Linked DNA regions of Coturnix japonica. The protein of the gene in region 2 binds, or shares a complex with, the protein of the main gene of each other region. Links are inferred from orthologs where the notes say so. Each region holds a gene or a part of one and is shown on either strand. Other genes may lie near its edges.

Evidence for each region. The genes of interacting proteins can lie anywhere in the genome.
Region 1: the proteins of NFKB1 (region 2) and TXN are in contact, whole or in part, in an NMR structure (PDB 1MDI), measured with the Homo sapiens proteins. The link is inferred for Coturnix japonica from reciprocal best matches to the Homo sapiens genes NFKB1 and TXN. Residues at the interface, in NP_001158884.1 of Homo sapiens: Arg56, Phe57, Arg58, Tyr59, Val60, Cys61, Glu62, Gly63, Pro64; in NP_003320.2 of Homo sapiens: Thr30, Trp31, Cys32, Pro34, Met37, Ile38, Asp58, Val59, Asp60, Asp61, Gln63, Ala66, Ser67, Val71, Lys72, Pro75, Ser90, Gly91, Ala92.

The regions. Positions count from the first base shown.
Region 1 is NC_029547.1:59,052,546-59,056,804, reverse strand, and holds the start of TXN (thioredoxin), read left to right. Parts: upstream 1-1,434; 5' UTR 1,435-1,635; coding exon 1,636-1,659; intron 1,660-3,856; coding exon 3,857-3,961; intron 3,962-4,259. UniProt on the Homo sapiens protein: Participates in various redox reactions through the reversible oxidation of its active center dithiol to a disulfide and catalyzes dithiol-disulfide exchange reactions.
Region 2 is NC_029519.1:54,750,973-54,754,532, reverse strand, and holds part of NFKB1 (nuclear factor NF-kappa-B p105 subunit), read right to left. Parts: intron 2,980-3,560; coding exon 2,877-2,979; intron 2,013-2,876; coding exon 1,891-2,012; intron 1,062-1,890; coding exon 992-1,061; intron 666-991; coding exon 493-665; intron 361-492; coding exon 183-360; intron 1-182.

The sequences.
Region 1 (4,259 bases), on a different chromosome or scaffold from region 2:
AGCACAGAACACCAAGGGGAGTGGGCAGCTGCAGAACCCTGTGAACATCACTCATGGGATGTGCATTGGGATGGCACACAGAGGTTGTGGTGGCCCAGGGATGGTCCTGCTTCCTGCCAGCTTCCTGGAAGCACAGGGCTGATTCCTGGAAAGTACAGTATGTGGCAGTGCTCTCCCCCTCCTTTCTGTCATTGTTCAATGGCTTCTCCTCCGTCTTTCAACCAGATGTGCTCTGCCAAGTGTTCAAGAGAGGCTGGGTGATTGGGTACGTCACCAGTGAGAGCAGAGCTCTGTGTGCACTGCGCATATGGCTGGCAGACACCCAGCACACCCATCTAATTATTAAATATTTATTGCACCTTTAATGGGTCAGTTACAACAGAAGAGTGCTCCCAAGGAGCAGGCTGCAAGGAACGGGAAAGCACCATTAAAGACTGTCAGGGCCAGATGAAATGCAGCGTGGTAATGCACTGCAGATAACCCGTCTCTCCTGCGATAAAACGTGGTGCAGCTGTTGCTGCAGGCAGTTCTTCCAGCAGCTTCCTCCCTTTGGCAGCTGTCTGCACCATTGCTTAATGCCGGACGTGCCCAGCCCTCTGTGACATGGCCAGGCTTGGATCTGCTGTGAAACTGGCCCTTCTGCTGCACTGTGTGATTCTCACTGTATCCTCTGGTCACAAAGTCCAGCGCCACTTAGACACTGTATAATGCCTTGGGAGAACTGCTGGCTGACGGGCCAGGACTGGAGGGTTGTATTAATGGGGTTACATGGCAGATTGTCACCAGTGGGGTCCTGCATTGGCTCCATTTAAGGTCCAGTCTCTTCAGTGGGTTATCGGGGAGCTGAGTGCACACTGATTGTCCTCTGATGGTGCTGAACTAGGGGAAGCCGTTGGTTCCCATGCAGGAACTGGATGATCTTTGGGGTCTCTTACAAGCCAAGGGGGCTGGGAATAAAAGGAAAAGGAAGATATGGAGCATGGGCAGACAGGGGACAGACACACGGACATGGGGACAGGCAGACACGTGGCACGGCCAGCACACAGCCCGTGTCGCAGCACATGGGTGCTGGAGGCAGAAAAAAAACCCAGTTTTAAAACGATTTTAAAACAGAATCGAGAAATAAAACAGGAGGAGTCCCCCCATACGGGTTCCCACCCCCTCCCCTCCTCCAGGGCAGGATCCTGCCCGCCACTTCCTGCTCGGCGTTACGCAGCACTTTTTCTTACAGTCACACGGTTGGTTTTTTTTTTCTTTCTTTTTTTTTTTTTTTTTTTTTTTTATTTCTTTTTTTCCCCCTATTTTCCCTCCTCTCCCCCCTCTCGCTGCTCCCCCCAACCCCCGCCCTGTGAAAGAACTATAACGGCCGCTCCCCTTCCCGCCTCGTGACGTCACCCGCGCCATGGGCGGGAAGGGGCGTGGCCCGGCGATGGGCTGAGCGCTCAGTGCGCATGCGCGATGCAGCGGTGGCTATATAAGGGCAGGCCCGGGGCGGCGGCGGCAGAGCGTTGGTTTGGCGTTGCGGAGTGAGGACCGGTATAGACACAGCCGAGAGCGCAGCGGCGTGCGGGACGCGCGTGCGCGGGGACGAGCCCGTTGTCCGCCTTGTGACCGTACAGCACAGTGAGAGCCGCCATGGTGAAGAGCGTGGGCAGCCTGGTGAGTGCATGGGGCGGCACGGTGGGGTGTGGGTGAGGGGGGCTTGGTGTCGGCGCCGGGCCTTGGGCCGCGCTCCTTTGTGTGCGCTGAGCCTGAGGCCGCTCCCCAATGGCGGCTGCGCTCCGGCCGCAGGGGGCACTGCGGGAGCGGGTTAAACTGCAACACGTCGCCCTGACCCTTGGCTGTCAGCTGATGGCCGCGATCACAGAATGACCCGGGTTGGGAGGGACCTCAAGGATCATGTAGTTCCAACCCCCCTGCCTGGCAGGGCCACCAAACATACGCCTTTACTAGATCAGGTTGCCGGATCAGCACGGCCCAAGGGCGGCTCGGTGGGTGTCAGACATCGTGCTTATAGCTGGGGTCTTGTATTAAGGCTGTCCCAGCTATGCTGAGGGCGGTGGATTTCTTACGGCGTTGGTTGGTGGCCTCCATTTTGGGTTGCTGGGAATCCCTGCTGCATTGAACCTCTCCTTGCCACCTGTTTTCTCGCAGCCGGCCCTTGGAAACTGAAATCTGCTAACATAATGCTGCCTGCTGCGCCCAGCAAAGTGAGGCCGAGGCCTCAGGGAGGCACCAGATGGGTATTTGAAAAGTGTTTATGGGCTTTTCCCCTCCAGAGGACTAAGGAAAATATTGCTGAAAAAGCTGTGAGATCCTCTAACAGCTGTAGCCACGTGGACTAACAGGGGGAGGTGTCCATTCTGATAATGGAGATATTTCTGTATGAATCTTATTAATCCATACTTACTGCAGAAAGACTAGAAGTCAGAAAGGTCAGCCAGTTTTCCTGCTGTATTCCTTACTTCAGGGATATTAATGTTTTCTGAGGAAAAAATACCAACACTTACCCCTTGCTGGGTATCTCAGGGGTAACACCGTTGGACCTCGTGTCTCTTCTCAGGCTGCCTGTAGCAATTTTAGCTAATTCTAGGGATGACTCACAGGGTAACGCCTGGCTGCAGCTGGAGAGCAGTGCTCAGATCTCCAGTGGTGTATGGGTTGTGATCTGCAGGAAGTGCCATGTCCTCCCACTTTGCCCTTGTTCTGTGCAATATTGCCCTGAGATGTGTGGTCATATGATCAGCGCGTCCCAGGGATGGCCTTCCTCATGCAGGGTACAGCAATCAGTCATTTGGACTGAGGAAAATAGTCCAATTGGTGGGTGCAGGAGGTAGAATTAATATTAATAAGGCTGTTACAGCACTAAGTTGTGAGAATATATGCCAGAAATCAGGGATTTGGAGGTGGGAGTGAGTGAGGCTCTATTTAACAGCCTTATGGTTTTAAGTAACCACTGGGAGCAGATAGCATGGACTACTGTGTATGTGAACGCTGAACTTTGCTGGAGGCAGTGTTGTGCTTTAGAGACTGGGATGCAGGAATACACCCCACATTAGCACAGTGGTGGAGAAGAAGAGAGAGAGGAAGAACTTCTTGCTGCCACCCTTGCCTGTGTGTTGGATCAGCATCCTCTGCTTGCTCTGCCTGAGATACTTGTTTGTTTTTTAGCATGCAAATATTTCTTTCCTTCAGTGCCTTACACTTCTGTTGAAACATTTGCTCTTTGAAAACAGCGGCACATAAGGAGCTCTGAAATGCAAAGCGTGATGTCCAGAAATGTCTCTTGTAACAAAGTGCAACAGAGATATCTCTGTTAACCTTAAATGTTAGTTGTTACTGGCATAGACTGTGTAGCTTTGCATTGAGTACTGGAGTTACACCCCAATTTACTTGGCATAATAAAATATTTATATGATGAAGCTGTTGCTCTAGGAAACATGCTGTAGGGTAAACCACGCAACATCTTGATTCTAACCATTGCTTGGGAAAGGTATCAGACCATGAAACTGTGGAAGTTTGTCCTCAGATTCTGAGGAATCCTAGAAGAAAATGGACGACATCCTATTAAATTGGAGATTAGAACTGAATGCTAAGGACCGTCAGGATCACGTTAGAAGTGTAACATTACTCAGTTTAGCTTACGGTCTCAGTTCATGCTGAGTTCTACATAAACTTCCACAGTTCAGTGACTGAGCATTGTGATGTTTCATAATTGATACTCATAATTCATCAGAAGACAGTGGGGGATGCAGTGCTGATGGAGCTAAGGGAAAGCTGACTTGGGGGTTAGTCTTGAACCTTTTGCAAATGAGGGGGGAAATCCTTAATGTTTTGATTTCTTTTTTCTTTACAGTCCGAATTTGAGGCAGAACTGAAAGCTGCTGGTGAGAAGCTTATAGTAGTTGATTTCTCTGCCACATGGTGTGGACCATGCAAAATGATCAAGCCATTTTTCCATGTAAGTAGCTTTTGTCTTTCACAGTAACTTTAAGTATATAGAAATACTTCTGTGCAACTTCTAATATGGTGGAAACCTTCTTTGTCTATGGTGTGTTTTCCTGAAGGAGGAATCTTAGAAGGATATGATAGGTAACTATTGAATAAAGCACTTGGATACACAGCGGGGAACTAACACACTGTAGCGTTTTGTCTGTCCTGGTGTGCTGATGCATCAGTCTGTAGGGACCTAGCTGGTGCATTTCCACAAGAACTGGCAACAGTGGAGTTGAAATAATGTATATATGCTGGCTCTGATT
Region 2 (3,560 bases):
TTCTGCACCTAGTAAATGTCAACTGAGAAAGCCCTACGTGGTAGGTAAGCAGCTCAGACACAACGTCTGAGGAACTCTGCTATCTATATCTGCTATATCTATCTGCTATTAGCAGTCCAAAGTGAGGAAGGAGAACTAAAAAATGTTTTAAAGGTGCTTGATGCTTGTGTTGTTAGTTTTACCTGTCTCTCCCTTCGCAAAATTGGCAAGCGATGATGAAGGAAAAGCTTCTATTGCATTGTCCTCCTGGTGAGACTGCCTCTGAGAGCTGGATAGTGCTTTCTGAATTACTTCAATAGCCTCTGTGTGATCCATCTGTCTCAAAGCAGCAATCAGCTCCTGAACTGTACCTCCAGAAATCTAAGAGAGAAGACAGCAGATGCTCAGCTTCATCCTGGCTCGCTAAAACCAAAGGGCTGTGCTGTATCACTGGGCAGGACAGCATTCACTGCACAGCTGCATGTTCTTAATAACTTGTTACAGCCACATTACCTTATAGTTATCTAGCAGAGTTTTTGAGGGTGAAGGGCTCAATCCGAAGGCATTATTAAGAATGCCAAGCCCCAGCTTTTCTGCTAGAGTAGCCCAGTTCTTGCTTGGATCAGGTGTTTCCAATAGCTTGTAAAGCTGCTGCTTGGAGCTTTCATTCAGCTCCCTCAGAGGGCCTGGGGAACAGAAAAATACATCTGTTATTTACTCAATCACACACCAGTTCATTTCTAAGCAGAAGCACAGACAAATTTAAAAGTATCTATTTTAGCATCTCTGGTACTTACTAATATATTGCTGTAATATTGGAAATGTACAAACTTGGGCCCTCGTGCCATGCTTCTGAACAGACTCATTCTAAGACCGCAGTGGTAGTGAGTGCCCCTTCTCCCTCCCCACCTCCCTCACAAGCTGCTGCAGTCACGTTCTTCTGCAAACATACTTTGGTGCTCTGCTGTTTGTTCCCAAGGGGATGTTGCCAGCTCATCTTTACAGACTTTACCTTGTGTCAGTAAGTCCTCCGAAACTGCTGCTGCTGCTATGTAGGGTTTGCCATTTAATATGTCATACACCTAAGAGAATATATTCAATTTAGTATTTCGCAAAACCTGGTTATTTGTCCATTATTTTGACAAGTTTTGGTGGTATTGTTTGTTGTACAGCACTAAATCTCTAAATGGGCATTTAAAAAAAAAAAAAAATTACAGAAAACCTGTGCATACCATGAGGGATAAACCTCAGTTCATCTCCCTTAAGCTCTGTCATCTGGCAGTTACTGCCAGGACACAGAAGCAGCCTGTGCAATAAGCGAGGGGCTGTAGCAGAAGTTAAGTGGGGAGTTAGCAGCTGTCTACAGCCAGTAATTTCAAGCAAAGCCTGGGCTAGATTTTCACCTTTTCAGTAGCACTCCCCAGCCGAGCTCCATTTGATCAGAGATGCCAGCTCCTTACATGCTCACATCATGCCAGCTGTGTGTACTTGGATACTGAAGCTCGAACCATGTAATCTAACCAATGTTTGGGTAAGACACAAAAGTCTACTTTCACTACATATCATCCAGTCTGCAGTTCTAAAGACCATGCAGCAGAGAAACTTATTACAGTGTCTCACCCTGACCTTGTAGACCCTGAACAAGCACCTTCAGGCACATGCTGCTCTGTCTGCTGTCCTCTTCCATATTGACAACCCCAATGCAACTACTTAGAAGAAATGCCTGTTCAATCCTGCTCAACAGAAGTCAGCTACTCTGAGGAGCTTTTTTCCAATACTACTTCACTGTTTCTTGTGGCTCAGTAAGTTTGTTTGTGATGCCAGTTTGGGTGCTGTAGAAATTTGTCACCATTTAAATAACTGGATGAAATTAAACGAATTGTCAGTACTAAAAGACAGCAGCCCACGTACCTCCCAGTTGGCTGCCATGTCCAGTGGTGTTGTTCCAGGTACAATCCCTTCATCATCATCATCTTTCACATCTTCTTCAACATCAAAGAGCGGCTCAAAGTTCTCAATGTGAGGATCTGCACCTGGAGAACAAGCGTGCAAGGCATTTCTAAGGAAAGGCTTTTAAGCTGTTTTACATCACGTTGTTGAAAAGCACGGTTTAAACAGCTACGTTAGAAGGTTTACAATTCAAGACTGAGAATACATATTTTAACTCCGAAAATGGTGTTTTTTTCCTAAATAAACTGAAGTGAAATGTCACAACATCCCCATGTATCATCCATTATACAGATGGGGAAGAAAAGACAAGCCGTGTGGTTAGGCCCAAAGAAAGCATCTGATGATATAAACTGACTTCCAGTTCCATTCTTGGCTCACACAGCATGTATGTGACGAAGCACTGGTGCAGGGCTTCCCTTTTGTAGTGTCAGAAAGCAGGAGTGCTATTAAAAGACCAAACACACAGCCAGAGCAGGGGGAGGCTTGGATTTCTGTCTCAATGGAGAAAATCCAGGTATTAAGGGATGAAACACAACTGAAAAAAGCATTGAAATGCACAATCAAAACCAAATTTACTGTCATGATTCAAAACTGCAGAGAAGTGGTCCCAGTTTCTATGCCTGTAAAGCAGTCCAGCCTTATCCCAACTATAAAACTGGGTCTTTTGTCTGCTTCATATTAAAAACTATCTGCAAGTACCCCAAACCTCCAAGATTGCTTGGAAGTATTTTTACTAACACAGTTTTGCTTTGCTTTTTGTAGCCATTAGATGGTGCTAAAGAGTAGCAGAGCCTCTGAAACTAGGACTTCCCAGAGGAGAAACAAACCTTTATGCTTTTAACATCTGGTATCTTTTGCTCATTATGAAGTTCACTGACTGTGTGCAACGCCTTCACCTGAACTGGCACAGTTAAAGAGAACCCTGCAACAAACACTTGACCCAATACCTGCTGCTTTGAGAACTGCTGCCAGCTTCGTAAAGCCCCTTCCAGCTGCTATGTGAAGAGGCGTTGTGCCGTCGTATGTAGTGCTGTCCACATCTGCATCACCCTAAGTATTGAAAGAGAAGAAAAATGCTATTATCTATACAGTACTGTTGCATAGAGACTTGTGTCTGCATGAACCTCACTGCTCTGCAAGCAGCACCATTCCGTGCCTGTTTGCACAAGAATTCCAATTGTCTGAAAAGAATGAATCGGAAAGTGACTACAACTGTTGGCACCAGTAACAGACAGTGGTTGTGCTCTGCAGTGCCACAGCAGGAGGCAGCTGAGTGAACCAGGTAGATACAGCTCAAAAGCCACTTTGCATCCCATAATACTAATCAGATAATAGTTCTATTATCAGATTACCCGCAGCATTTGCCGTGCACTGAGAGCTGCCTTCCTGCTGCCCTTCAGCAGAGCAGACGGGCCGGTAGCACAGCTGTACTCCATACCCAGGGGAGCTACTGCAGGTAGCTGTGGGTGTGCCCAATTAAGTGTGCTGAGATCAAGGTGTGAGAGATGAGACAAATATTTACAGATACACACAGCTATCTCTCTGCACATCTGCACACACATTCCACCGCACCCGATCAGCAACTTGTTCGGGAGTCGTTTCATTGGCTGCTGGGGTTACTCAGTGCAAAT